Linked DNA regions of Elephas maximus indicus. The protein of the gene in region 1 purifies or fractionates together with the protein of each later gene. This does not show direct contact. Links are inferred from orthologs where the notes say so. Each region holds a gene or a part of one and is shown in the gene's direction. Other genes may lie near its edges. The genes, in order: LRRK2, SLC25A5, ACTG1 and SLC25A6.

Region 1 (7,736 bases):
AGACTTACATAAGTGGGAAAACACACCTTGCTCCTGGATAGGAAGATTTAACATTATAAAAATGTCTATTCTACCAAAATCGATCTATACATTTAATACAATTCCGATCCAAATTCCAATGATATTCTTTAATGAGATGGAGAAACAAATTACCAACTTCATATGGAAGGAAAAGAGGCCCCAGATAAGTAAAGTATTACTGAAAAAGGAGAACAAGGTGGGTGGTCTTACTCTACCTGATTTTAGAACCTGTTATACCACCACAGTATTCAAAGCAGCCTGGCACTGGTACAACAACAGATACATAGACCAGTGGAACAGAATTGATAACCCACACATAAATCCACCCACATATGAGCAGTTGATATTTCACAAAAGCCCCAAAAGTATTAAATGGGGAAAAGACAGTCTTTTTTAACAAATGGTTCTGGCATAACTGTATATCCATCTGCAAAAAAATGAAACAAGACCTATACCTCACACCATGCACAAAAACAAGCTCAAAATGGATCAAAGAAACTAAATATAAAATCTAAAGTGATAAAGATCATGGAAGAAAAAATAGGGAAAATGTTAGGAGCCCCAATATGTGGCATAAACAGTATACAAAACATTATAAAGAATGCAGAAGAAAAGCTAGATAACTGGGAGCGCCTAAAAATCAAACACCTATGCTCATCCAAAGACTTCATCAAAATAGTAAAAAGATTACCTATGATTGGGAAAAAATTTTTAGCTATGACATTTCTGATCAGCGCCTGATCTCTAAAATCTACGTGATACTGCAAAAACTCAACTACAAAAAGACAAATAACCCAATTAAAAAATGGGCAAAATGTATGAACAGACCTCATTAAAGAAGACATTCAGGTAGCTAACAGATACATGAGGAAATGCTCACGATCATTAGCCTTTAAAAACCAAAAAAAAACAAACCCAGTGCCATTGAGTTGATTCCAACTCATAGCGACCCTATAGGACAGAGTAGAGCTGCCCCATAGGGTTTCCAAGGAGCGCCTGGTGGATTCAAACTGCTGACCCTTTGGTTAGCAGCCGTAGCGCTTAACCACTATGCCACCAGGGTTTTCCGCTCCAACAAGGCTGGCGTTAATCCAAAAAACACAAAATAATAAATGTCAGAGAGGCTATGGAGAGATTGGAACACTTATACAGCACTGGTGGGAATGTAAAATGGTACAACCACTTTGGAAATAGAATTGGTGCTTCCTTAAAGAGCTAGAAATAGAACTACCATACGATCTGGCAATCCCACTCCTTGGAATATATCCTAGAGAAATAAGAACCTTTGCACGATCAGATACATGCACACCCATGTTTATTGCAACACTGTTTACAATAGCAAAAAGATGGAAGCAACCAAGGTGTCCATCGACAGATAAATGGATAAATAAATTATGGTATATTCACACAATGGAATACTATGCATCAATAAAGAACAGTGATGAATCTGTGAAACATTTCATAACATGGAGGAACCTGGAAGGCATTATGCTGAGTGTGAAATTAGTCAGTTGCAAAAGGACAACAATTGTATAAGACCACTATTATAAGAGCTCGAGAAATAGTTTAAACAGAGAAGAAAATATTCTTTGATGGTTACAAGAGGGGGGAGGGAGAGAGGGTGGGAGAAGGGTATTCACTAATTAGATAGTAGATAAGAACTACTTTAGGCGACAGGAAAGACAACACACAATACAGGCGAGGATAGCATAAGTGGACTAAACCGAAAGCAAAGAAGTTTCCTGAATAAACTGAATGCTTTGAAGTCTAGTGTAGCAGGGGCAGGGGTTTGGGGACCATGGTTTCAGGGGATATCTAAGTCAATTGGCGTAATAAAATCTATTAAGAAAACATGCTGCATCCCACTTTGGAGAGTGGCGTCTGAGGTCTTAAACGCTAGAAAGCAGCTATCTAAGATGCATCAATGGGTCTCAACCCACCTGAATCAAAGGAGAATGAAGAACATCAAGGATACAAGGTAATTACGAGCTCAAGAGACAGAAAGGTCCATATAAACCAGAGACTACATCAGCCTGAGACCAGAAGAACTAGATGGTGCCTGGCTACAACAGACAACTGCCTGACAGGGAACACAACAGAGAGCCCCTGAGGGAGCAGAAGAGCAGTGGGATGCAAACCCCAAATTCTCATAAGACTAGACTTAATGGTCTGACTGAGACTAGAAGGACCCCAGTGGTCATGGCCCCCACCCCTTCTGTTGGCCCAGGACAGGAACCATTCCTGAAGCCAACTCTTCAGACATGGATTGGACTGCCCAATGGTTTGGAGAGGGATGCTAGTGGGGAGTGATCTTCTTGGATTAGGTGGACACTTGAGACTATGTTAGCATCTCCTGCCTGAAGGGGTGATGAGAGGGTAGAGAGGGTTAGAAGCTGGCGAAAGGGACTCGTAAAGAGAGAGTGGAGGGAGGGAGTGGGCTGTCTCATTAGGGGGAGAACAATTGGGAGTATGTAGCACTGGGTTCTTTGTAGCAAGGTGTATGTAAGTTTTTGTGTGAGAGACTGACTTGATTTGTAAACTTTCACTTAATGCACAATAAAGATTAAAAAAAGAAAATATCATAGCTTGGGTCAGGTACACCTTAGTCCTCAAAGTGACATCTTTGCTTTTCAGCACTTTAAAGAGGTCTTTTGCAGTAGATTTGTCCAATGCAGTACATCATTTGGTTTCTCGACTGCTGCTTCCATGGGTGTTGATTGTGATCCAAGTAAACTGAAATCCTTGACAGCTTCAGTCTTTTCTCCGTTTATCACCATGTTGCTTATTATTCTAGTTGTGAGCATTTTTGTTTTCTTTATATTGAGGTGTAACCCATACTGAAGGCTATAGCCTTTGATCTTCATCAGTAAGTGCTTCAAGTCTGCTTAGTGTTTCAGCAAGCAAGGTTGTGTCATCTGCATATCTCAGGTTCTTAATAAGTCTTCCACCTATCTTGATGCCATATTCTTCTTCACAGAGTCCAGTTACTCTAATATAGTATAGAAAATAGATGGAATAATGAATATTGATTGAGGAAAAGAAAAGGAATCTTTTATACTTAGATTGACTTTCTCTTAGAAGGCAGTTAGGTTTCAATCTCTTGCAAGATAATAAACCAGTAGTTTGGGAAGGGAGACATAAAAGGGAGACTTCCTAGAAATATGAGTTATTGAGTAGGTAGTCAAAAGATGACATAAGAAACCAGTTAGGAAGGCATATACAGCAGGTATGATAACAACTACAAGTATGAGAGTTGTGTGTGTTTTAAGTTTTATATGGAAACTTTTATATCTTATAAAAAGTAGAGAATAGTAAAATAAACCCCATGAAGCTATCTCCAACAATTATCAATTCAAAAGTTGGTGTTTTTGCATCACTACCTCCACCCATTTCATCCCTTCCCCCATCACTGGGTTACTTTGAAGCAAATCCTCATCATTATATTATTTTAACTGTAAATAGATAAGCGTGTGTCTTTAAAAGATAATTGGTATTAATAAATGGTACATATAGAAACTTGAATTGCTGTGTCTTTAGCTGTATATATTCTCAACAACAATAACAAAATAAAATTTGGGGGGAAAAATGTACAACAACGGCAAAACATTCACAATACCAAGGTTGAATTTAAACTTGTTTTATTAACCTAATGTTTGAAGTAAAGCTAGGTCATTTTGATTAAAATGGCAGAATGTAAAGAAAAAGAGCACTCAATTTGGTGTTAGACATTCTACCTGGATTTAAGTTCCAGCTCTCAACTTCCCATTGTTTGACCCAGGAAAATCTCTTCATTTAACATCTCAAATCTCAATTTTCCATTAGTAAAAGAAGAAGAAATTGTAGCTGCCTTGTGCATTTCAGAATTATCATTAGACTGAGGTAACAGATGTGAAAGGAATCTAAAAACTGAGAAGTTCTAACTTCCAGTTCAATCCTCTCCTGTGTAAATAGCCCTTACCTTGTGGTTTGCCTTGGCCTGAAGACAGTATCATTTTTGTCTACAGTGTAGAAGTGCCTTGTCTACAGTGTTTCTAACTGGTTTCCCTTCCTGAAAAACACATTACTTTGGTCCATTTTTAAAAACTTTTGATTATAGACACCCATTTTCATTAGTAATTCTTAATAGTAAGAGAGCAATATTTTTTGGCTTGTTTGTTTCACCTTTTCTGCTGGTCATTTCATTTACCCTGTCTTTCTCTTCAGTTTTAATAGTACAGAGAATTGATTACTTTTGGCATGTCCACTATCAGGAATCTTCCTAGTGCAAACACAAAATTTCAAGGTATTTTTAGTGGCCTTTTGGAGCCCTGGCAGCGCAGTGGTTACGAGTTTGGCTGCTAACCAAAATGTCAGCAGTTGGAACCCACCATCCGCTCCTTGGAAACCCTATGGGGCGGTTCTACTGTGTCCTATAGGGTCGCTATGACTCAGAATGGATTTCAAGGCAATGGGTTTGGTGTTTTTTTTTTTTTTTTGGTTTGGCAACCAGATTTTCAAATAACAGAAAAAGCACCTTTTATCTCCACGCACAACAATCACAAAAAAAGAATTTAGCTAGGCAAATTTTGACTGCTAACATCTCCATCCTTGCGGAGAAATTAATGCATCTCCCTGTAGGTGGAACCCTAAAGAGAATGTTGCCCTAAAAGGGGCCGACTGGGCGGTGTCCTCTTTTCCCAAAGCCCTGATTTCTATTCTCAGATCTGGAAATAGGCGGCTTTCATTTTCCTCTTCTGAGATCCCACTTTCCGTGGGCCCAAAGGAGCCCGGGTTGGCCGGTCTGGGACCGTAACCTGCCGGCTGCAGGCTGTAAGCCTCCTCCCCACCGCTGCAGGACTCCGGGTCTGGGGCACTTGGCGGACTCCGCTGAGTCAGTTTCTTCCTGCGCGACTCCCTTGCTGCACTGCCTCGGCGAGTGGGATCAGATCGGGCCAAGGAGGCGGCGCCCGCCCGGGGGTTCCCAGCGCAGTGGGCTCCGGGGCCACAGTCGTCTGGCCGGCCCCCCCTGGAGCCCCGCCTCGGCAGCCGTGCCACGGTTCAGCTTTCTACCAGCCTCTCGCAGGCCACCGAGCTCATTTTTGGGGCCTGGGCGGCGGAGGAGGAAGGCTCGAGGAGAGGGAGGGGAGCGCAGGGCGTGGAGACGCCGCCTTTCTCATAAACAGGCCGGAGCGGGTGCCCATGGGGCGTACGGGCTGCCAGCAGTGAGCTGTACTTGCCCGGAACAGTGGCCTAAGCCCCAGCCCCTTGTCTGAGCAGCGGGCCTCCTTGCCCGGAGGGGCAGCGGATACACAGCAGGGGCCATCATGGCCAGTGGCAGCTGTCAGGGGTGCGAGGAGGAGGACGAGGAAACTCTGAAGAAGTTAATAGTCAGGCTGAACAATGTCCAGGAAGGAAAACAGATTGAGACGCTGGTCCAAATCCTGGAGGATATTTTGGTGTTGACGTACGCCGACCACGGTAATCACTAGGGAATGATTCCCTCCACCCTCACCCCTTTTTGCAAACTTTCTCCCTTGCCCTTTGGAGCTGCTCAGTCCAGGACTCCTGAGAAGCCTCAAACTCCCTACTCCTTTCCTTAAAGCGGAAAGGAGCTGAGAATTCCAGGAAGATCTTGAGCTCACCTCGTATTTGCTTCCCCCCCTTTTTGGGACATTAAAGGGCTGCTGTGAATTGTGACTGACTTTGCTTCTTTCCCCTCACCCCCTTCTTTTCCAGCCTCCAAGTTATTTCAAGGCAAAAATATCCACGTGCCTCTGTTGATCGTCCTGGACTCCTACATAAGAGTCGCGGGTGTGCAGCAGGTAAGGAGCTGCTTTCATTCTGCCCTTTCGCCCTTTCTTTTTGGAAAGCGATGTTTTTCTGTCAAAGTTATATACCTGGAGTTCCTGGTTATTTCTGAGATTTGGCTTGATGAACCTCTGACAGTGATTTTAAGATGAGAGTATTGTCAAATCTTTATCTAATGTTAACTGTGTAAAAGTGCTTGCCCGGAGTTCCAAGAATGTCATTAAAAGGTAACTTAATAAAACTGACTGGCAGAACGTGGTTGGGGGCTGGGGAGAATAGTAATGGGTTGAGGTACTCTGTTACTGGCTAGATGAGTTTCAGGGTGTTTAGACTGAATTATTCTTAGGATTTTCCCAGTGCAGAGCTATGTCCTAGATTTGACACCATTGCCAATAGTTTGGGAAAGGGGAATAATTAACAGTAATAAAACACAATTAAGTAACTGGCAAATTCTCATAGGTTTCAGAGATTTTTAAAAAAATTTTAGTTTGAAGACAGTGAAGTACCTAGCCTTTTTAAAGTTTGCCTTGTGTCTAATGAAAGTGATGTTTTAGGATTCCCCTATATGTTTATTTTTTGTGTTCCCATGTAAACTGAATATAAAACTGAAATTTTTAGAATCGGTGTCATAGGAAACTCAAAAAATCGAGTTAGTATATCTTAGGTATATTAAAAAGTGAAACCTAAGATGGTAAGTAAGAATGATTTACGGTAAAAACAAATTTCTGACTAAGGTGATAACTTCCTTTTGAGATTTGGGGAACTGAAATGAGCTTTGTCATCTGTAAAGTCCTGATGGAAAATAAAATTAAACTTTGAATTCTGTGGAGGTGTAGACAGAAAGCCAGTATTTCTTCCTGTCTAATTGAGATGCCACACAGGGGTAAGAATTCTCTCTCTCTGTCATTGTGTTTATGTATCTTTGTCTCTATCTCTATATCAGCTATGTCTGATACTAAGTATCTAACTTCTTTTATATAAGCACATTCATATCTGGGATAAATGGTTTCTTTTATTTTTCTTCAACTATGAAATGTTTTCCATCTGACTATTGATTTCCTGGCTACTATTAAACAAAACCAAGAAAAGCTAGAGGCATGATAAGGATGCTTGCTCTTTTTAGCACTCGAGGTCTGAATTTGCCCATGGAACATGAATCACATTTTAGGCACTGGTCCACCGTGTTTGCTGCTCTCCACCCACCTACCCCCATTTCCCTCGCCTCCATGTTCATGTGACTGGTTCTGGCAGCCTCCATTCCTGGACTCTGCCTGGCAGAGTCACCTTGCTCAGTACCACTCAGGACAATGGGATCCTAGGTGGGCTTTGGTCTACAGAGTCCAGAGCAAGCCATGATAGGCTTGAGACCCCAAGGGAACCTGAACATACTTCCCATCTGATTCTTCTTCACTTTAGAAACTGCCCAAACCTGAGTCACACTATTCTGTAGTAGCTATGAGTATCACTCAATATTCTGGCCCAGTAGGTACTAGAGACAAAATATGGAGGGAAGTAAGGAATTGTCTTCTGATTTGATAATTTAATGGAATAGAATTATTAATTATAGCACCATCTAAGCCTGCAAAGGGCATTGTATATATTATATCATTTGATACCATTGCCTGTTCAGAAATCTCACTGGATAATTTCCTCTCATAAAAGCTCAGCAAGAGGAAATGGCTTATTTGGGATCACCCAGCTAGTAGCAGAGCCAAGACTTTAACTCAAGTCTTCTCGTAACTTTGAAGCCTCTTCCGTCATACTGTCCACGGCTTCTGAATATCACAGACTTTTCATGTAAGCAAGTACAAAAGCACAATGTTTTGGTACAACCACTGTGGCCATACTAGGCACAGAAACATTGTAATTTTTGATTCACATCACTCTTATCAAAGGGATGTAGAAACAGGTCTCTCTACTGACATTTT
Region 2 (7,316 bases), on another chromosome or scaffold:
CATCGATATCGTAGGCATTAGTGAGCTGAAATGGACTGGTATTGGCCATTCTGAATTGGACAATCATGGAGTCTACTATGCTGGGAATGACAACTCGAAGAGGAATGGTGTTGCATTCATTGTCAAAAAGAATGTTTCAAGATCTATCCTGAAGTACAACACTGTCAGTGATACGATAATATCCATACGCCTACAAGGAAGACCAGTTAATACGACTATTATTCAAATTTATGCACCAACCACTAGGGCCAAAGATAAAAAATTGAAGATTTTCATCAGCTGCTGCAGTCTGAAATTGATTGAACATGCAATCAAGATGTATTGATAATTACTGGTGATTGGAGTGCGAAAGTTGGAAACAAAGAAGTAGGATCAGTAGTTGGAAAATATGGCCCTGGTGATAGAAATAATGCCAGAGATCGAATGATAGAATTTTGCAAGACCAACGACTTCTTCATTGCAAATACCTTCTTTCACCAACATAAACGGCAACTCTACACATAGACCTCACCAGTAGGAACACACAGAAATCAAATTGACTACATCTGCGGAAAGAGACGATGGAAAAGCTCAATATCATCAATCAGAACAAGGCCAGGAGCCGACTGTGGAACAGACCATCAATTCCTCATATGCAAGTCCAAGCTGAAACTGAAGAAAATCAGAGCAAGTCCACGAGAGCCAAAATATGACCTTGAGTATATCCCACCTAAATTTAGAGACCATCTCAAGAATAGATTTGACGCACTGAACACTAATGACTGAAGACCAGACGAGTTGTGGAAGGACATCATCCATGAAGAAAGCGAGAGGTCACCGAAAAGACAGGAAAGAAAGAAAAGACCAAGATGGATGTCAGAGGAGACTCTGAAACTTGCTCTTGAGCGTGGAGCAGCTAAAGCAAAAGGAAGAATTGACGAAGTAAAAGAACTGAACAGAAGATTTCAAAGGGTGTCTCGAGAAGACAAAGTAAAGTATTATAATGACACGTGCAAAGAGCTGGAGATGGAAAACCAAAAGGGAAGAACACACTCGGTGTTTCTCAAGCTGAAAGAACTGAAGAAAAAATTCAAGCCTCCAGTTGCAATAGTGAAGGATTCTATGGGGAAAATATTAAATGATGCAGGAAGCATCAAAAGAAGATGGAAAGAATACACAGAGTCATTATACCCAAAAGAATTAGTCGATATTCAACCATTTCAAGAGATGGCATATGATCAGGAACTGATGGTACTGAAGGAAGAAGTCCAAGCTGCTCTGAAAGCATTGGTGAAAAACAAGCCTTCAGGAATTGATGGAATATCAGTTGAGATGTTTCAACAAACAGATGCAGTGCTGGAGGTGCTCACTCGTCTATGCCAAGAAATATGGAAGACAGCTTCCTGGCCAACTGACTGGAAGAGATCCATATTTATGCCTATTCCCAAGAAAGGCGATCCAACCGAATGTGGAAATTATAGAACCATATCATTATCACACGCAAGCAAAATTTTGCTGAAGATCATTCAAAAACGGCTGCAGCAGTATATCAACAGGGACCTGCCAGAAATTCAGGCTGGTTTCAGAAGAGGACGTGGAACCAGGGATATCATTGCTGATGTCAGATGGATCCTGGCTGAAAGTAGAGAATACCAGAAGGATGTTTACCTGTGTTCTATTGACTATGCAAAGGCATTCGACTGTGTGGATCATAACAAACTATGGATAACACTGCAAAGAATGGGAATTCCAGAACACTTAATTGTGCTCTTGAGGAACCTTTACATAGATCAAGAGGCAGTTGTTTGGACAGAACAAGGGGATACTGATTGGTTTAAAGTCAGGAAAGGTGTGCATCAGGGTTGTATTCTTTCACCATACCTATTTAATTTGTATGCTGAACAAATAATCCAAGAAGCTGGACTGTATGAAGAAGAACGGGGCATCAGGACTGGAGGAGACTCATTAACAACCTGTATATGCAGATGACACAACCTTGCTTGCTAAAAGTGAAGAGGACTTGAAGCACTTAGTAATGAAGATCAAAGACCACAGCCTTCAGTATGGATTACAGCTCAACATAAAGAAAACAAAAATCCTCACAACTGGACCAATGAGCAGAACATCATTGTAAATGGAGAAAAGATTGAAGGATTTCAATTCAATTGTCAAGGATTTCATTTTACTTGGATCCACAATCAAGAGCCATGGAAGCAGCAGTCAAGATATCAAAAGATGCATTGCATTGGGCAAATCTGCTGCAAAAGACCTCTTCAAAGTATTGAAGAGCAAAGATGTCACCCTGAAGACTAAGGTGCGCCTGACCCAGGCCATGGTATTTTCAATTACATCATATGCATGTGAAAGCTGGACAATGAATAAAGAGGACCGAAGAAGATTTGATGCCTTTGAATTGTGGTGTTGGCAAAGAATATTGAGTATACACCATGGACTGTAATCTGTCTTGGAAGAACTGCAGCCAGAATGCTCCTTAGAGGCAAGGATGGCGAGACTGCGTCTTACATACTTTGGACATGTTGTCAGGAGGGATGAGTCCCTGGAGAAGGAGATCATGCTTGGCAGAGTACAGGGTCAGCGGAAAAGAGGGAGACCCTCAACGAGGTGGATTGACACAGTGGCTGCAACTATGAGCTCAAGCATAACAATGATTGTAAGGATGGCGTGGGACCAGGCAGTGTTTCGTTCTGTTGTGCACAGGGTCGCTATGAGTTGGAACCGACTCGACGGCACCTAACAACAACAACAACAATCTACTTGAGCTAAGAAGCACACTCTTCATGAGTAACATTTTATATTTTATAATCCAGTCTAATCTTTGTCTGAAGAGTTGGCTTCAGGAATGATTTTAGTTCTGGGTTAACAGAGAGTCCCGGGGTCAGGTCTTCTGGGGTTCCTCTAGTCTCAATCAGACCATTAAGTCCGATCTTTTTACTAGAATTTGAGTTCTGCACCCCACTTTTCTCCTGTTCCGTCAGGGACTCTCTCTTGTGTTCCCTGTCAGGGCAGTCATTGTAGGTAGCCAGGCACCATCTAGTTTTTCTGGTCTCAGGCTGGTGGAGTCTCTGGTTTATGTGGCCCTTTCTGTCTCTTGGGCTAATATTTTCCATCTGTCTTTGGTGTTCTTCATTCTTGTTTGCTACAGGTGTGTTGAGAATAATTGATGTGTCTTAGATGCTTGCTCGCTACCTTTTAAGACTGCAGACGCCACTCACCAAAGGGAAATTAGTTTTAAATGGTCGAATGATGTGCTACAAACTAGTGATGAAAACTGCCATGGCCAATAGAAACTGCTCCTTAGCGCCCCTCCTCAAGCAGTGTCCAGGGCACATGCCCTGCCTGCCATACCTTAATTACACCTCTGCCAGGCTTTGGGTTCTCCTGAGCCAATTTCTGGCAAGATCTTTGTTAAACTGTATTTGCAAACCAGGGTCTGGTACAAGCCGGCAGTGTTTCCACTCTGCTGTGACCGGTTACCCCAACCTCCTCTGGCTTCATTGGTGAAGCTCCATGGCAGGGCCAGGAATAGGGTGACGAGAGTGAGGCACTCACTTCAACACAAAATTTAAGGGGGGGGTGGCGAGCCAAAACAACTCGGTAATCAAGATAGATAATTTTTAATGCAGTATTAAAAAATTTTTTTTTTTATTTTAAAGAATGAAAATTAATGCAGAACATTCGGGAATGGTTAAGGGTGATGAACAACATGATGGACATGTTTAACGGCACTGAACTGTACATGTGAAGAATGATGAAACGGCAAATGTTTTCTTACCTGTATACTTACCACAGTAATAAATGAATGCAAAAAATCCACGATTGAACATACTATCAAAATTGCAAATAAAGACAGGATCTGACCCTGCACTTGCATGTCCCTGCCTCACTTGCCTCCAATTAAGCTTTATTTTTAAAAAAGCAGGTGATTGGCCCACCGGCCATAGATTGCTTATTGGAATTTTTTTTTAATATTGCTTTAAAATACTATTTGTTGCGATTACTGAGTTTTTTGGCGCCCTCTTAAGTATTGTGTCTGAGACGAGTCCCTCACTCCCCTCACCCTGGTCTTGGCCCTGCTCCAGGGGGGTTTGTCCAAGCACACGTGATCTCACCCTTTTTCCCCCCTTGAAGGGCCCGCCCCCTTCAGGCTCCAGCGCCCAGATCCTGGGTATTCCCTGGGCCCGCCCCGTCCTTCTGCCGGACCAGGTGCTGTGGCGGCCCAGAGCCGCGGGGAGAGCGGCGCCCTGGCGGGTCCCAGAGGTTCGGCCCTCCGCGCCCTGAGCCAATCAGCGGTGCTGCCGCCCCGAGCGCCGCGGCTCAGCTCCCGCTCGGGGCCCGCCCCCAACGCCGGCCGCCTTGGCGCCGGCTCTCCGTATATAAATCAGCCATTTGCTCTGCTCCGCCCCAAAGCCCCGGAGTCAAAGCCGGTTTGTGTCCCATTGCTGCTGTCGCCTGCCTTCTTTTTTTTCAACATGACAGATGCCGCTGTGTCCTTCGCGAAGGACTTCCTGGCAGGTGGAGTGGCTGCGGCCATCTCCAAGACCGCGGTAGCGCCCATCGAACGGGTCAAGCTCCTGCTGCAGGTAAGTCCAGGGGTCGCGAGCCCAACCAGGAAGTGGGGAGGGGTCGCGCACAAAGCCAGGGTCCCCAGGGGCGAAGGGGAGCCAACTCTAAAACGTGTCCGGGGAAGTGACGGGATGGGGCGGAGATCGCGACAAAGTCGGACCAAACGGCCAACACGAGGGACTTAAAGTTTAGGTGCCTAGGAAGGGCTCGGGATGGAGGGAGGGGAGGAAGGCCAGGCGCTCAGCATCCCGGATGCGGCAAGTTGCGAGCGACTATCTCCCCGGGCTTTGGGGTCAAGGGCGAAGCCTGAATGCAGGCGCGAGAAAGAGGAGCCCCGGGCCTTACGGAGGACCTCAAGGTTGCGGCAAGGAAATAACAGCCCGGGGGAGGCCAAGCCGGCCGGTCCCATGCCCCCCAACGTGGGTGGCGCGCAAACCTTGCCGGGCCGGAAGTCGGTGCCGGGAAGCGCGTGTGCTTCTACAACCTCCCCCGCGCAGCCGCCGCCTCCCGGCCAGCCATCCTACGCCTCGCCATTCTCCGCTCCGGCTCTAGAGGGAGCTCCTGGGTGAAAGTCGGGGTGGCGGCACAGTCGCTTCTAGGAGAGGAGCTGGGGCGGAGCAGGAGGGAGGCAGTGCAGGAGACCTGAGGTATAGGTCATCAAGGTGACCGCACCCTACCTTGGACTCAGTGCCCGTGAACCTGGGTCTGAGGTAATGACCTTTCTCTCAGATAGAAAGGTGACAGTCTTCTTGAGGGTGCCCCCTCTCCACCCAAATGGGTGGAGGCTTAATGCCTGTAAGGGTGCATGTCACCTCTTCCACCTGAGACAGCTTCAGGGCTTAGGAGGGTCCAACCTGTATGATACCCAAGGCTAGACTTGTTGCGGGGGCGCGGGGCGGGGCGGGTAGCTAACCTTAAAGGACATTGATTGAGATGATATCTTCGCCTCCCTTTCAGCTTCTACATGGTTATAAATGTCCCTCTTGGCCCGCTTGTTCTCTCTCAGGTGCAGCATGCCAGCAAGCAAATCACTGCAGATAAGCAGTACAAGGGCATTATCGACTGTGTGGTCCGTATCCCCAAGGAGCAGGGAGTCCTGTCCTTCTGGCGTGGTAACCTGGTCAATGTCATCCGATACTTCCCCACCCAGGCTCTCAACTTTGCCTTCAAAGATAAATATAAGGAGATCTTCCTGGGTGGTGTGGACAAGCGGACCCAGTTTTGGCGCTACTTTGCAGGGAATCTGGCATCAGGTGGTGCTGCTGGGGCCACATCCTTGTGCTTTGTATACCCTCTTGATTTTGCTCGTACCCGTCTAGCAGCTGACGTGGGTAAAGCTGGTGCCGAAAGGGAATTCAAAGGCCTCGGTGACTGCCTGGCTAAGATCTACAAATCTGATGGGATTAAGGGCCTGTACCAAGGATTTAATGTGTCTGTGCAGGGTATTATCATCTACCGAGCTACCTACTTCGGTGTCTATGACACTGCAAAGGGTAAGTTTGCGATGTACTTTGAAGCTGCATTGTTAAGAGACCATTTATAAAAGATTGTTATGCCAGCCTAATTTTCCAGAGATTTTTTTTTTTAATTGCTTAAGAAAGCCAGGGTCATCCAGTGTAGAAATGAGGAAATGTTTGGGGGTTGTGGAAAACCACAACTAAGTAGAACTCTGCTTTTTGGTCAAAGTGTCTCCTTTCCTTTTCTCAGGAATGCTTCCAGATCCCAGGAATACTCACATCATCATCAGCTGGATGATAGCTCAGACCGTCACGTCCGTGGCTGGGTTGACTTCCTACCCATTTGACACTGTTCGTCGCCGCATGATGATGCAGTCAGGGCGCAAAGGAAGTAAGTTCCACCTGAGCAGGAGATAGTCAGAGACGTGGGCATGGGGCAAGCTGTGGCCACAAACTGGCAGTGCCTGACTTTAAAAATGGCAGTCTTTGGATCCTGGGTTGGGACTGATAGCTTCTGTGTCACAGCTGCCTTTGAGTAGGCTGTTAGATGACTGAATGAGAGTGCTTAAATGGTCCTAGAGGTTAAGACCAATGGGTTGTTTGCATATCCCTATTTTCTAGTCACAGCATTAATAGTTGACGATTGCTCACGGGAATGTGTAAATGTTGGGTTTACAAAAATGGACACTAGCTTTTAGGGAGGCAGGGCTCCCTTCTTGTCCTACTGAGTTTTCGGCCTTTCATCTGCCCTCAGTCACCAATTCCATGTTTATTCTTTGCAGCTGATATCATGTACACAGGCACACTTGACTGCTGGAGGAAGATTGCTCGTGATGAAGGCGGCAAAGCTTTTTTCAAGGGCGCATGGTCCAATGTGCTCAGAGGCATGGGTGGTGCTTTTGTGCTTGTCTTGTATGATGAAATCAAGAAGTTCACATAAGTTTATTTCCTACTTTGTTTACCCCTGTGAACAGGCATATTGTGTTATATATAACATATCTTGAACATTCTTGACAGACTGTTGGCTGTCTATCAACAGCAACTATCTGCTGGTTGAAAATGGGAAGCAATAATATTCATCTGACCAGTTTTCTCTTAAAGTCATTTCTGTGTTGATGACGATGGGACTCAGTTCTGTTTTTTATTTCAGTCACTCCTGATAAATAAAAAGTTTGAAGAAATAAAAATATCTGAAATGCAGTTTTTGCTTGCTTGCAGTTTATTTTTACATACATGCTACAGCTATGGGTCTAAGCTTCTGGGATGAAGAGCTTTCTTTGAAAATCAATCCTCAGC
Region 3 (7,195 bases), on another chromosome or scaffold:
GTAATAAGGTTGGAGAAAGGAGGTATGTCTGACATCTGCCTCATAGAAATAAGCCTTGGGCTGTTGATCTTGATTCTCCTTCCACTTGTGAAGTTGGAGCTTAGAGGTCAGATGACCCCACGCCACCATTTGTACAGGGCCATCTAGATCACCTGTGCTTCAGCCTGCGTGGTGACAACAGGAGAACTGAGGCATGCCTAGGCAGCAGGCGGGAGATAGGCTTGGCCTTGCCCTCCCGGGCAGACGAGGCCCATGCCAGGGGCTGCCCCTGCCCTGTAGGAGTGGGCTCCGGGACCTGGAGAGGGCATCAGCAGTCAGGAACAGGGCAGTCACCTTACATTTGATCTGTCCACAGAGGCTGGAAAAAGGTTAGGAACATGAGCTGATGTAGGTACTTTTTTTTCCCCCTTGGACATTTTTATTTTGGAATAATTTTAGGTTTATAGAAAAGTCCAAAGATCCTGCAGAGTGCCTTATACCCACCCACTAGTTCCCCCTAAAGCTAACATCTTAATCACAATCCAGTCGTCAGCACTAAGAGGTTAGCACTGGTATGTTACTATTAACTCCATACTTCATTTGGATGTCACCGTTCCCCCCACAGTGTCCTTGTTTTGTTACAGAATCCAACCCTTGGAACTTGGTGGGGAGACTGGGCCGACAGAGACAAAGGCCAGGATGGGCAATCATTCCCGAGGCCCTGCCTTGTCTGGTGGTCAGCTGGGGGGCCATGTTACCAGGTGCAGAGGTGACACGGATTCCAGGGCTGGGACAGGGAGATGACAGGCTGACATCAGTGTTGGAGGAACTCATGGGAAGGACCCTAAGCCGGGGTGCCAGAGGGCAGTGCCCAGGGCCTAGAGGGAGGCCCCAGGCTATCTTAGGCCCAGCACATTGCACAGCAGGACGACACTACCTTCCCAGCCACTGTCTGCTCATCTGTTAAATGGCTGGGAAACATACACAGCAAGGCCACAATAAAAAGCCACCAAAGCCAGTACCAAGCTAATAGTGGCACAGTGGCTAAGCACTCAGCTGCTAACCCAAAGGTGGGCTGTTTGAACCCACCAGCAGCTCTTAGGGAGAAAGATCTGGCAGTCTGCTTCTGTAAAGATTACCGCCTTGAAAACCCTATGGGGCAGTTCTACTCTGTCCTATAGAATGCCAATGAGTTGGAATCAACTCAACGGCAGCGAGTTTTAGGGGTTTTTTAGGAGGGAAAAAAAAGGCCATTTCTCTGAGTCCTAAGCCTTCTTCCTGAGAAGGGACACTCACACCCCTTCAGCTTCAATTGCCGGCTCTCCCTCCCCCAGCCCTTCCCAGAGCCTCCCTGCTCACCCCAGCCAGGGGCTGCCACCTCCATACGGTCCACGGACGGCCTCTCCACTCCAGCTCCTGGAGGGGTGGGGTCGGCCTGCGCCACCCACTTCCAAAAGCACAGTTCTGACCGCCCCAGCAGGTAACCTTGGGCGAGGCGGCGAAACCACATCGCAGAATACGGTGCCCACCGCCGTCCTCCGCCCCAGGGCTAGGAGACCTGCTACACCTGGAGCCACGGCAGTCCCAGCGGCGCCCGGCCTCCGCGCCCCTATGCGGGCATCCAGCTGCGCACCCCCAACCCCTCTGGCCATCTGACCCCCACCCCCCCCAGATCCTCGCCTCTGGGGCCTCGACACCCAAAACCCTGGTAGGCCGAGCCGGGTCCCCGCCGCGGGTAGGCGTGGAGGCCGCCGCCCAGCAGGGCTTCCCCGCACCACCCCTTTGTCCTGCGGGCCAATCCGCGGCCTCCTGCCTAAATAAGGCGAGGCGCGCCGGCGCCGGCCGTTACTTCCGCCCCGCCCGCTCGCCCGTGACTCAGGTCCCGAGGCGGGCGGGACCGCGGGCTTCCCGGCGGCGGTGGCGGCGGGCGGGGCGGCGGCACCGAAATCGCCAAATATGGCCGCGCCGCGCGCCACCGCCCCCCGCCAGCGCACCTGGGGCCGCACCTTGCCACCCCCGCCGGTGACACATCGCGGAAGGGGAAGTAGCTGCCCCCCTAGCCGGCCGGCCTGGGCGCCCCCTCCGCGCCGCCCTGGCCCTGCCGGGCGGGGGGCTCGCGGCCACCGCCCCCACGGCCCTCTGACCTTGCCGCGGCGTCCTGTCCTCCCGGTGGACGTGCGGAAGGAAGGGTAGGGGCGGGGATCGAGGGTCCATCTGTCCCCAGAAGCAGGCTGGGAGTGGGCCGCAGCCCGCCTCCCAGCACACACAAAGGCGTTTGAGAGGAAACCCGAGTCCGTGGAGGGGACAGGCGCCCCGCCCCCACTGGGAGCCGAGGGGTCCTAGCAGAGCAGAGCGTGGGCACAGGCTGAGGCGGCTTTATCCTTACATCTCTCCTCTCCTGTTCCCCTCGTGTGTGGCATAGAGTTTGGGAACCCCCAAGTGGAACGGCCGTACCCCCACTGTTGATGCCTACCTAGCAGGCCTGTGGTTGTGCCCAGGACAGGGGACAGGAGTCGGGTGACTTCTTGGAGGCCCAGCTCGGGTCGTCCCCTGGTGGGGCCTGGACCCAATGGAAAGCAGCCTTGAGAGTGCCCCTGTAAAATCTAGGAGGCTGGGGATCCTGCACCCTGCCTTTCAGCCTGGTGACCTGTTGGCCATGGGCACAGGCCTCGGCTTCTGGTGTTGCCAGGGCCAGCTGCTCTGCCGCGCCTAGCCCGGCGTCCTCACCTGAGAAGTGCGGTCATGAGGCTACCTTGCATGGCTAAGGGCACCCAGAGAAGATGTGTGCTGTACCTGGGGAGCCAGGTACTGGCTATCAGTGTTCCCCCAGGGTCACAACTTCGGAGGCAGGCATCCAAGACCCGACTCTGAAAACCTACGTGTCCCGTGACCTTGGACGAGTTCTTTCCCATTCTGTGTCCAGCCCACGGCCACCCTTCTGAGGGATATGCCCTTTTATGCTTTCTCTGAGCAGTTCCAAGGGTTTCCAGATAAGCACAAGGAAACCATAGTACCTGGCTCCACAGTATCTCAGAGTGTAACTGAAGCATCTGCACACACAGATGGGGTCAGGACCCTGCCAGGACAGGGGACAGGTCTTTCAATGCAGGTTCCTGCTGAGAAAGGTTCGCCCTGGGCTGGGAGAACTCCTAGCGCCAGGACGGAGGAAAGGGGCGCCTGCCTGGAGGAGCTGGGGCTCAAGCGTTGTGCGGACCCAAGGCCCAGAGCACCAGGCAGTCTCTGCCTGGGAGCTCCCCGACTTTCCTTGTTTCACAAGCAGACGACAGAGGAGCAGGTGGCACCCCCCCCAGCCCATCCAGGATCTGGGGTCGATCGTTCAGGGAGTGGGGACTCCCTCCCCCTGCCTCTACTTCCCTATAACGTGCACCAAGTGATAACATTGAAACAAAGGCGGGCGCCGCGCGGATGGGGCTTGACCTCAAACCCGGGTGGGGCCGGCGTCCAAGGACAAGCGGGTCTGCTTTTGGGGGAATGTATCGCAGGACGTGTCGGGTGTGGGGAAAGGGGCCTCTGGCTCACACCCCTGGGGACCGGGGCCGGGCGCCCCCTCCTCCCGCAGCGGGGGCCTTGCACCGCGTTAGGGGGCGGACGGATCCTTCCTATGGCTCAGAAGCGAGGTCACGGCTCCCCTCGGCCTCGGGACCCAGGGCGCTGGGGACCCCAATTCCGGCTCCCTCCCCCAGCCCAGCACCGGGAACCGGCCTTCACGGCCACGGGTCTCAGTGCAGCCTGAGAGGAAGGCTCCTTGGGGGCGCCTGGAGAGTAAAGCCTCCAAACAAGGCCCAACCGCGGGGACACATCCCGGCTCGGGGCGCGGCCCAGGCCCGGGTCAAGCAGTTTCGGGGCGCAGCCCGGCCCCTCCTCCACGGCGCGACAGTCCCGAGGTGGAGCCGGGTCGGTCACCCCGCAGCCCTCCTAGCGACCCCCGCAGGTCACCCGGATAGCCGCACCCCGCGCCCTGCCCCGCCAGTCCGTCCCTCCGCCGGCCCGGCTCGGGGTCCCCGGCGCCCGGGGCGGCGCGGGCGGGGCTGTTGGGGGGCGGTGCGGGCGGGGGTAGGGCGGGGCGCGGGGCCCCACGTGCCCCCGCGGGAACGGCCAATGGGCGCCCGGCGTTCTCCAAGATCGCCATATATGGCCATGTTCTGGGCCGCGCGCGCCGCCGCTCCGCGCGCGCGCCCCGCGCCCCCTTAAAAAGCGGCGGGGGAGGCCGCGCTCGGTCTCACTTTCCTCCGACGCTCAGGGCTTGTCTCTGTCTGTGGTTAAAGCTCGCTGCTGCTTCCTTGTTTTTCCGGTAAGGGTCAGGTCTGTGCGCCCCAACCCAGCGCCGTCGTCTCCGCGAGGTCCTGGCGGCGCCCTCCGCAGGCCGCTCCGGCCGGAGAGGCGGCCTTTTGTTCCTGGGGTGGCCGGGCTGGTGGGCTGCGCCCGGGGGAGGGGCGGCGGGCCGCATTGCGGAGCCCCGGGCCTCGCGCCATGAGGGATGGTTCCATCGAGGTCTGGAAGCCGGGTCTTGGCGGTTGGGGGCCGGCCGTCCTTCCGGGCTGGGCTGCGCGCTTGGGGGGCAGTCTGGCGTCTTGGAGCGCGAGGGTCCGCCTGATCGGTAACGTCTGTAGATAGATCGCCATGGAAGAAGAGATCGCCGCCCTGGTTATCGACAATGGCTCTGGCATGTGTAAAGCTGGCTTTGCTGGCGACGACGCCCCCCGCGCCGTCTTTCCCTCCATCGTTGGCCGCCCCCGGCACCAGGTGAGTAGGGGGCGCTCTTTTTCATGGGGTCCCGGGCACTCTGAGCTGCGGGAGCTGACCCGGTCGGCCTCTTGCAGGGCGTCATGGTGGGCATGGGCCAGAAGGACTCCTACGTGGGCGATGAGGCTCAGAGCAAGAGAGGCATCCTGACTCTCAAGTACCCCATCGAGCACGGTATTGTCACCAACTGGGACGATATGGAGAAGATTTGGCACCACACTTTCTACAACGAGCTGCGTGTGGCCCCCGAGGAGCACCCGGTGTTGCTGACTGAGGCACCCCTGAACCCCAAGGCCAACAGGGAGAAGATGACCCAGGTGATTGTCTGGTTTTGTCAATGAATCCCTTTTTTCTATCTTTAGAATCGTGTTTTGCCTTACTGTTTTTATTTTCTGAAATTCAAGTGTTTCTTTCGCTGTTTCCAGGGTTCTGTTCCTCTTCTGGCATTTCCTCCTTGAAGCCTCCAGGTTTCTCGTGTGTTTCTGCCTGCTTCCCTCTCCTTTCTTCACACATCACATGGGGGGCATGTGGCATGTAGCGTGTAGCACGGGGCATTAGCAGTCGTTGTCTCTGACTAACGTTCTGCTTCCTTTGCAGATCATGTTTGAGACCTTCAACACGCCAGCCATGTATGTGGCCATCCAGGCGGTGCTGTCCTTGTATGCCTCTGGCCGAACCACCGGTATTGTCATGGACTCTGGCGATGGTGTCACTCACACTGTGCCCATCTACGAGGGCTACGCCCTGCCCCACGCCATCCTGCGTCTGGACCTGGCAGGCCGAGACCTGACTGACTACCTCATGAAGATCCTGACCGAGCGAGGGTATAGCTTCACCACCACGGCTGAGCGTGAGATTGTGCGTGACATCAAGGAGAAGCTGTGTTACGTAGCCCTTGACTTCGAGCAGGAGATGGCCACAGCCGCTTCCTCCTCCTCTCTGGAGAAGAGCTATGAGCTGCCAGACGGCCAGGTGATCACAATTGGCAACGAGCGTTTCCGGTGTCCCGAGGCCCTCTTCCAGCCCTCCTTCCTAGGTAGGTGGCCGGTGCCTCAGCCTTGAGGCTCTTCACGTGCAGTAGCCTGAAGAGGACAAGCAGTGTGGCTGTTGACCACTAAGGGAGAACTTTGTTTCTTAGGTATGGAGTCGTGCGGCATCCACGAGACCACTTTCAACTCTATCATGAAGTGTGACGTGGACATTCGGAAGGACCTGTATGCCAACACGGTGCTGTCTGGCGGGACCACCATGTATCCCGGCATTGCTGACAGGATGCAGAAGGAGATCACAGCGCTGGCGCCCAGCACAATGAAGATCAAGGTAGGTCCCCAGGGGGCTGTGACCTAGGCGTGGGCAGGCAGGGCCCAGTGTGCTGCTAACGCCTCTCTTGTCACCCGTGCAGATCATTGCTCCCCCTGAGCGCAAGTACTCGGTCTGGATCGGCGGCTCCATCCTGGCCTCGCTGTCCACCTTCCAGCAGATGTGGATCAGCAAGCAGGAGTACGACGAGTCGGGCCCCTCCATCGTCCACCGCAAATGCTTCTAGACGGACTGCCAGCAGGTGCCACCACCTGCCGCATGAGCCCATTCCCGAGTGCAGGTTGCACACCTGTACGCCTCATGCTAGCCTCGTGAAACTGGAAGAAGCCTTTGAAAAGAAATTGTCCTTGAAGCCTGTATCTTGATATCAGCACTGGATCATAGAACTTGTTGCTGACCTTGACCTTGTATTCAAGTTAACTGCTCCCTTGGTCTGTGTTTAATACCCTGTACATATCTTTGATTTAAACCCCTAGTTCGTGTGATCTGGTCATCCCATGGCCAAGGTGAGGGATGACATGGTGTGGTGAAATTGTTGGCGTGGCGAGTGTCTGCTTCACTGACCTCGCGGTCTGTGCAGGGTATTAATGCGGAGAGCTGACGGTGCCAGGATTTCCAGAGGCTGGCAAGAGTTGGAAAGCAGTTGTCATTTCTGTCTTGCCAGCCTTGACAGGGTTGGAAAAATCTGAGCCTTAGGACCCAGTTTCCTCTCTTAGCTGATGTTTTCCCGTTGGAACACCGTGGGTTGTTAAAACTTGCCTTGAGTTGGAAGATGATTTGCATTTAAACCTGTAAATTTATTCATCCTTTTAATTTATGTGAGGTTTTTGTACGCAGTTCTCAACTCTAAGATGACAACAAATTTTGGTTTTTCTATTGTCATGTGCGAACATTAGGCCCCAGCAACGCGGCGTTGTGTTAAGGAGAAATAAAGTGCTGCAGTGAACCGGCGACTGGCTCCAGTTCCTGGGGGGCGGGGTGGGCGGGCGGACGGGTGGGAGGTCTCTTGAGCCACACTGGGCTGCATACCGGACAACTTGGCAGCGATTTTGGTTTAGTATAATTAGCATTTCAAGACAAGCACTAGTCTCTTTGGACCTTTATTGAACCCAGCTGAATCTTGAGCACCTGC
Region 4 (6,912 bases), on another chromosome or scaffold:
GACTGTGAAAAGCCCTTGAGGCCGGGGCAGTCTCTGCCAGCCACTATGTCCCAGCCTGCTAAGTGAACTAAGCCCAGGAGGGAGCCGCTCTTCTGGGCGACTAGCCTCAAACCCAGGATCTCCTGATCAACCCAGCACCTATGGGATGGCCCAGGACACCTAGGGGCAGAGAATGGGTGCCAGCGTGGAGCGCAGTCCAACCAAAAAAAAACCAAACCCAGTGCCATGGAGTCGATTCCGACTCATAGTGATCCTATAGCACAGAGTAGAACTGCCCCATAGTTTCCAAGGAGCGCCTGGCAGATACAAACTGCCGACCCTTTGGTTAGCAGCCATAGCACTTAACCACTATGCCACCAGGCTTCCTGGAGCACAGCCCAGGAAGGCATTATTCCTAGACTCTTTCACCTTGCACAGCGGCGCTGAGGGAACAAGAAGGGCCCTGGCTGAGATGCCGGGCTGGAAGGAAGTGGAGATTGGGGCCCAAGGTGACCCAACAGCAACCCTGACTCCTGCCAGCCAAGGACAACACGAAGCAGCTGTCCCTGCTAACTGCTACCCACAACCCCGGGGTTTTGGGGACTGTTCTGTTTGCAACACAGCACTTAGTAAAAACTACCCTCTGGACTTATTCCGGGGTTCTGCGGAGGCAGCGGCACAAACCCTAAGTTATGTAACCCACTGCCGTGGAGTCGATTCTGACTCCTAGCAACCATACAAGACAGAGGAGAACTGCCCCACAGGGTTTCCAAGGAGCGCCTGGCAGATTCGAACTGCTGACCTTTGGGTTAGCAGCCAAGCTTTTAACCACTGCACCACCAGGGCTCCAACCATAAGTCATATACTATAGTGAAATCCGTGCAAGGGGGAACTCTGACAGGACTACTTTCTTTTTCTGGGTCTCCTAAGTTTTCTGCTTTCGACAGGGTGCAGTCTTACCACTTTTCTAACACTTTTTATTAGTGGGAAATATTTGAGTTTCCATTCTCGGACAGGTTTCTGCCTTACACAGGTTCTGGCCTTGACAGGTTTTCCTGTCACACCTAAGTAAATGGAGCTTGGCCCTTCCCCTCAGCCCTGCCCTGTCCAGCCTCCTCCCTGTTGTCACTAGAGACCTTTGAAGGCAGCACCTGATGGAACGCTGATTCCCAAGAATTTCACAGTTCCTACTATCCCCCTCCCCCAAAAAAGAAAAAACTGCCAGCCACATCACTGCACTACTCATTCCAAGCCATCAGCTAAAACCCAAAATCTTTTAATGTGTCTATTTATGGGAAAGAGCCCTGGTTGGTGATTCAAATCCACTCAGTGGCTCCGAGGGAACCTGCTTCCATAAACATTAAAACCTATTGCTGTGGATTCGAGTCGGACTCACAGCGATCCTGTAGGATGTGCAGAACTGCCCCACAGGGTTTCCAAAGAGCGACTGTTGGATCTGAACTGCCAACCTTTTGTTTAGCAGCCATAGCTCTTAACCACTGTGCCGCTAGGACTCCTGTAAATATTACAAACGCTCTCTTCTGTACCACACAGTCTGTGGCACTGAAGTTGATACACCACATTCCAGGGCCTGGGAGTCCCAGCTGGACCTCACACTCCAGCTCCGTGGCCCTGTAGGCTCAGGCGAGGGCAGTGATAACCGTCTCCTGGGTCTGTTCCAGCCCAGACAGGCTGAGTCTGCAAAGACGAGAAACATCTGGTGGAAACCAGTGCCCAGACAAGGTCCCTGAGCAGACACCCTGTCCCTGCCCACAGCCGGGCACACCCTCCAGGTACAGCCTCTGCCTCCAAGCCAGCTGAAGCCTGTGGAATGTGGAGGCCTCAAGCCCTGCCCCCTACCTGCCTCACAGCAGAGGTCAAGAGAGGACTAAGAAAGGCATTTAAAGGACACTGCTGCCTGGGAAGTGGATAGGCTCAGGGTGCCTGAGCTCTTGTGTCTGGTTCCCTCCCCTCACCCATTGCTTCAGGGCCTTGGACTGTGCCCCTTTTGGTGAGCAGCTGAGAATGTCCACTGTTTGCACCATCCAGGGACACTTCTGGTTTGCTACTAAGGGTCTTTCTGAGAGGACTATGTTCTCTTCGTGAAAATTCGAGTGCTTGTGCAATTTTCTGTATGTTACAGATCAATAAAAAGTTCAAAACACATCCAAAACCAAAAATTTGTTGCCGTCGAGTCGATTCTGACTCATAGCAACCCTACAGGACAGAGGAGAACTGCCCCATAGGATTTCGAAGGAGCGGCTGATGGATTCAAACAGCCGGCCTTTTGGTTAGCAATGAAATACTTAACCACTGCACCAACTCTGCCTCCAGGGCTCCTCATAACACACTGGACCGTGAAATTGGCAGGGTGGCGTGCCCTGAGCTCTTCTGTGTGGCTCCATTCCATCTGCCCATTCATTCAGTGCCAGGGACTGACAGGGAGGGAAGGAAGGAGAGAGGGAAAGAATGGAAGGAGAGAGAAAGGAAGCAAGGGAGGGAGAAAGGAAAAAAAGAAAAAAGGACCCTGCTTCTGAGCTGCTACCATTGAATCAAACTTGACTCATGGTGACCCCCCGACGTGTCAGAACAGAACGCGGCTCCACAGGGTTTTCAGTGGCTGATTTTTCTGGAAGTAGGTTGCCAGGCCTTTCTTCTGAGGCACGTCTGAATGGAATTGAACTTCCAACCTTTCAGTTAGCAGCTGAGTGTGTTGACCATTTACACCACCCAGGAACCATTCTGGGTTGCTGGTAAGGGTCTTTTCTTACCGGACTGTGTTCAGTTTGTGAAAACTCATTGGGTGATCGTGGCCCCGTGGTTAAAGCCTTTGGCTGAGAACCGAAAGGTCGGTGATTCGAACCCACCAGGTGGTCTGCACAAGAAAGATATGTCAGTTTGTAAAGATTTACAGCCTACAAAACCCTATGGGGGCGTTCTACTCTGTCCTATAAGGTCGCCATGAGTTGGAATCCAAGGGATGGCAATGGGGTTGTTTTCTTTTTTACATCAAAAAAAAAGTTCAAAGTATCTTAAAACATCTTGCCCTCACAACCTTACTTTCTGGGTGGGCGTAAGGGGTGTATGTCAGTGTGTGTAATATGGGCAGCTTATGACCTCCTGCTCATCTCCAAGTCCCCAAAGGTCAGCCCTGGGCCTTACAGGGGTAAGGTGGGGAAGAAGCCCCTCGGTGGCCTGGGGGAGGTGGGCGCCAGTGCAGGTGGAGGGGGAGCCCCGCGGGGGTGCAGCAAAGGACCCCAGGCCCCATAAAGGCCACCGGGCTGGTGCCGGGAGTTAAGGGGCGGGGGCAGAGGGCCCCCAGGTGAGCCTGGAGGGGCGACAGGCGGAGCCTCGCTCGGGGTCGGGGCGCCCTAGCGCGAGGAAGGGGCATCAGGCCGCCCCCCAAAAACGTGTTTCCCTTTAGCAGGGTCTGAGGGTTTCACTGGACGACGCGTCCGCCCCCCATTAAAAGGCTCCATCCTGGGGGAAAAGCGGGGGTCGGGAGCACGGCAGCTTCCGGTCCTTGGCCTTGTCTCCCTTCCCGGGGATGCGCGCGGGCACCCGGGCCTGGTGGAAGGCCGCGGACGGCGCGCCCCGGGGGCAGCCCCCCAAACCTCCCCGCTCCCAGTGACCTTGAAAAGGTCACTGCAGCCGAGCCCCCCGCCCGCAAGGCGCATGGGCGGGACCCGGCTCCCAGCATGCCTCGGGGCCACCGAGCGCAGGAAAAGGCGGGGCGTGGCGGCCGCGCGGCCAATGGGCAGGACGCGCGGGGGCGCGGGGCGGGGCACGCGGCGACTCCCGGCATCCCCCGGGGGCGCGGCACGCGGCGAGGGGCGGGGCGCCGGTGGGCGCGGCGGCCAATAGGCGCTGCGGGCGGGGGCGGGGGCGGGGCCTGGGCGCCTTAGCGGCTGCGCGGTAGGCGGCCCGTCCTTTCGGTCCCGGCGGCGGCGGCAGAGCCAGCGGCGCCCACCTTCCCTGCCCTCGCGCGTCCACTCCAGTTCTCCGCCCGCTCCGCAGCGCGCTCTGCCACCATGACGGAACAGGCCATCTCCTTCGCCAAGGACTTCCTGGCGGGCGGCATCGCCGCCGCCATCTCCAAGACGGCCGTGGCCCCCATCGAGCGGGTCAAGCTGCTGCTGCAGGTGGGCGGCGGGTGGGCAGGACCCCGGGCCCGGAGGGAGCCGCGCGGACAGGGCGCGGGGGACCGGGTCGGGCCGGCCGCGAGCACCGGGACCGGCACCGGAAGTGCAAGGCCGCGACCGCTTTGTCCGCGCGCCGGCGGCTTCCGGGGCGGGGCGATGGCGGGTCACGTGGGGCGTCGCCGCAGGCGTGGGGGCGGGGACGGGCTCCGGGCCGGGCGCGCATGCGCTCTGGCGCCCGGGTCGGGAAGGGCAGAGCGACTCTGGGGCGGGCATGTCGTGACCTTGGGAGGGTGACCGTCCCTGGGGAGCTTTGACCCCCAGCTGGGGCCACCTCCGCCCCCAGTGCCCACCCTTGTGCCCTGTGTCCCGGGGCAGGGGGTCCTTTAAAGTGCATTTTTCTCCTTGAACTTGAATCGTGGGTTGGGGAGCCCAAAGAAACCCCACGTGTGCACACGTCCTTCCCGAGCAAGGAGGGACGCACAGACAGTGTCTGGAAGGGGCTCCTGTGGGTTATTCACATCGGCTGTGGATTTTGACAGGTGTACGTGGGCGTAGATGATCTTGACAGTTCTTAGAACCGAAATTTGAGCTCAGAAAGTCAGTTTCTGGGTCAGTCTCTTTGACAACAGTGAACTCGTTCTGGGCGATGCAAACGGTGAAGCGCTAGACTCTTAGCCATCCGGTTGGAGGTTCTAGTCCACCCCGAGGCGCCTCGGAAGAAATGCCTGGTGATCGGCTTCCAAAAGGTCAATTATTGGAAACCCTGCAGCCCACGGTTCTACTCTGACACAACACGAGGTGTCCCTGAGTCGTGGTCAACTCCACGACAATTGATTTCCAGGAGTCCCCGGGCCGGAAAAGAGGAACCCTGGTGGCACTGCGCTACCCAAAGGGTTGGGGGTTCAAACCTACCAACTTCCACAGGAGGAGGATGGGGTTTGCTTTGGTAAAGATGTACAGCCTTGGAAACCCTATGGAGCAGTTCTGCTCTGTCCTTACCGGGTTGCTGTGAGTGGGAATCGTCTTCGATGGCAGCGGATTTGGTCTGGTCTGAGGTGGTGAAAAGGGTTACTGGGCTCAGCTGCTAAACAAAAAGTTGGAGGTTTGCATCCCTGCCCCCGAGGTCTCTTGGAAGAAAGGCCTGGTAACCTGCTTCTAAAAAACCAATCACTGGAAACCCTGTGGAGTGCAGTTCTACTCTGACACAACGTGGGTTGAAATGGGTGCAGCAGCATTTGTTCACAGGAGTTACTGTATCTGTGATTTCAGACTTGAACAGCACATCGTATGTGGGAGCTGGCAAAAGCTGTCTGTCTAGGAATTCATCTCCATCCAAATGGAATTCACTCAAAAATTAACTCTCTAAGCACAGATTTCTGTTCTGGAAACTCAGCAGTCTCTAGTCCCAAGCACACCTGTGGCGGCGGGGGCCGGGGGCGGGGGGATTCTGTTTTCATTACTGTCTTTATGCAGCCGCTGGTCCGCAGTGGACTTGTAACCTCCTTTATCTTTACTTTTGTGCTGGTCTGCTTCCGTAAAGGTGACAGCCTTGGAAACCCTGTGGGGTGGTTCTGTTACATGCTATATGGTCTGTGTGAGTAGGAAGTGGTGGCCTCGGGTTGATGTTGTTACCAAAAGTAACAAGCTACTTATAAGACGGTTGTTAGGACAGAATTTCTAAAGTTACAGTAACTGCTTATAAAGATTGGGCCTCCAGACTTATGGTTGAATAAACCACTTGCCCTTGATTCCAACTCAGGACAACCGCATGTATATCGGTGGAAATACTTACTTCCATAGGGTTTTCAGTGGCTGATTTTTCAGAAGTCGGTCACCAGGCCTTTCTTCTGAGGCACGTCTGGGTGGGTATGAAATGCCAGCCTTTTGGTGAACAGACAAACCTTTCACCATTTGTGGCACTCAGAGGCTCCCATGATGCAGGAGGGACCTAGAGATTCCCGCTTGATCAGGGGAGTTTGAACTGTCACGTCTGCGACACTGGTTTTATAAAAACACTTGTTGATTTATAAGGGCATTTCTGGGTTTAGATTCAGGCCTTGGTCTGCAGTGCCCTCACCATTCTGTCCTCTGGCTCTCAAGTGTTGTTGTTGTTAGGTGCCATTGAGTCGGTTGCGACCCTAAGCACAACTGAACGGAACACTGACCAGTCCTGCGCCATCTCGAGTACAAGACCTCCAAATCCTGCAGGCAGGGAACAGACATGCCAGTGACACTACATTTATAAAAAGTGCTTGTTCTTTGAATAAATCCCGCCCCCCCCAAAAGAAAATTCTCATCAGCCGATTTTGACTCACGGCAACCCTACATGTAAATGGTAGAATTGCTCTGTAGGGCTTTCTAGGCTGTAGTATTTATAGGAGCAGAGCACCAGGCTTTTCTCCCACAGCACCCCTGGGTGACTTAAAGTTGCCAGCCATTTAGTTAGCCGAGTACAAGCCGTTAGTGCTGCCATGGGTGTTTCTGGACAGACTGAGGCCTCACGGCGTCCTGTGCTCTGGCCCTCAGGTGTAGCCTCTGTAAACTGTCAGGACAGTGAGCAGTCAGGTCAGCGACATTAGTTTTGTAAGAACGCTCCTTTGTGATGCGTGCGGTGTCTGTGTGCGGACCGAGGGCTCACGGTGCCCTGTGCTCTGTCCCTCAGGTGCAGCACGCCAGCAAGCAGATCGCGGCCGACAAGCAGTACAAGGGCATCGTGGACTGCATCGTGCGCATCCCCAAGGAGCAAGGCGTGCTGTCCTTCTGGCGGGGCAACCTGGCCAACGTCATCCGC

What was found.
Region 2: the proteins of LRRK2 (region 1) and SLC25A5 purify together in Homo sapiens (co-immunoprecipitation; 3 studies listed by IntAct, with this or other methods). This does not show direct contact. The link is inferred for Elephas maximus indicus from reciprocal best matches to the Homo sapiens genes LRRK2 and SLC25A5.
Region 3: the proteins of LRRK2 (region 1) and ACTG1 purify together in Homo sapiens (affinity purification with mass spectrometry; 3 studies listed by BioGRID and IntAct, with this or other methods). This does not show direct contact. The link is inferred for Elephas maximus indicus from reciprocal best matches to the Homo sapiens genes LRRK2 and ACTG1.
Region 4: the proteins of LRRK2 (region 1) and SLC25A6 purify together in Homo sapiens (co-immunoprecipitation; 3 studies listed by IntAct, with this or other methods). This does not show direct contact. The link is inferred for Elephas maximus indicus from reciprocal best matches to the Homo sapiens genes LRRK2 and SLC25A6.

What each region holds. Positions count from the first base shown.
Region 1 is NC_064822.1:94,616,559-94,624,294, forward strand, and holds the start of LRRK2 (leucine-rich repeat serine/threonine-protein kinase 2), read left to right. Parts: upstream 1-4,715; 5' UTR 4,716-5,324; coding exon 5,325-5,478; intron 5,479-5,735; exon of another isoform or gene 5,736-5,736; coding exon 5,737-5,822; intron 5,823-7,736. UniProt on the Homo sapiens protein: Serine/threonine-protein kinase which phosphorylates a broad range of proteins involved in multiple processes such as neuronal plasticity, innate immunity, autophagy, and vesicle trafficking.
Region 2 is NC_064846.1:37,412,482-37,419,797, reverse strand, and holds SLC25A5 (ADP/ATP translocase 2), read left to right. Parts: upstream 1-4,308; 5' UTR 4,309-4,469; coding exon 4,470-4,580; intron 4,581-5,569; coding exon 5,570-6,056; intron 6,057-6,270; coding exon 6,271-6,411; intron 6,412-6,802; coding exon 6,803-6,960; 3' UTR 6,961-7,215; downstream 7,216-7,316.
Region 3 is NC_064837.1:71,371,777-71,378,971, reverse strand, and holds ACTG1 (actin, cytoplasmic 2), read left to right. Parts: upstream 1-4,184; 5' UTR 4,185-4,291; intron 4,292-4,610; exon of another isoform or gene 4,611-4,614; 5' UTR 4,615-4,620; coding exon 4,621-4,743; intron 4,744-4,820; coding exon 4,821-5,060; intron 5,061-5,340; coding exon 5,341-5,779; intron 5,780-5,881; coding exon 5,882-6,063; intron 6,064-6,145; coding exon 6,146-6,289; 3' UTR 6,290-7,009; downstream 7,010-7,195. UniProt on the Homo sapiens protein: Actins are highly conserved proteins that are involved in various types of cell motility and are ubiquitously expressed in all eukaryotic cells.
Region 4 is NC_064846.1:180,063,251-180,070,162, forward strand, and holds the start of SLC25A6 (ADP/ATP translocase 3), read left to right. Parts: upstream 1-3,898; 5' UTR 3,899-4,010; coding exon 4,011-4,121; intron 4,122-6,783; coding exon 6,784-6,912. UniProt on the Homo sapiens protein: ADP:ATP antiporter that mediates import of ADP into the mitochondrial matrix for ATP synthesis, and export of ATP out to fuel the cell.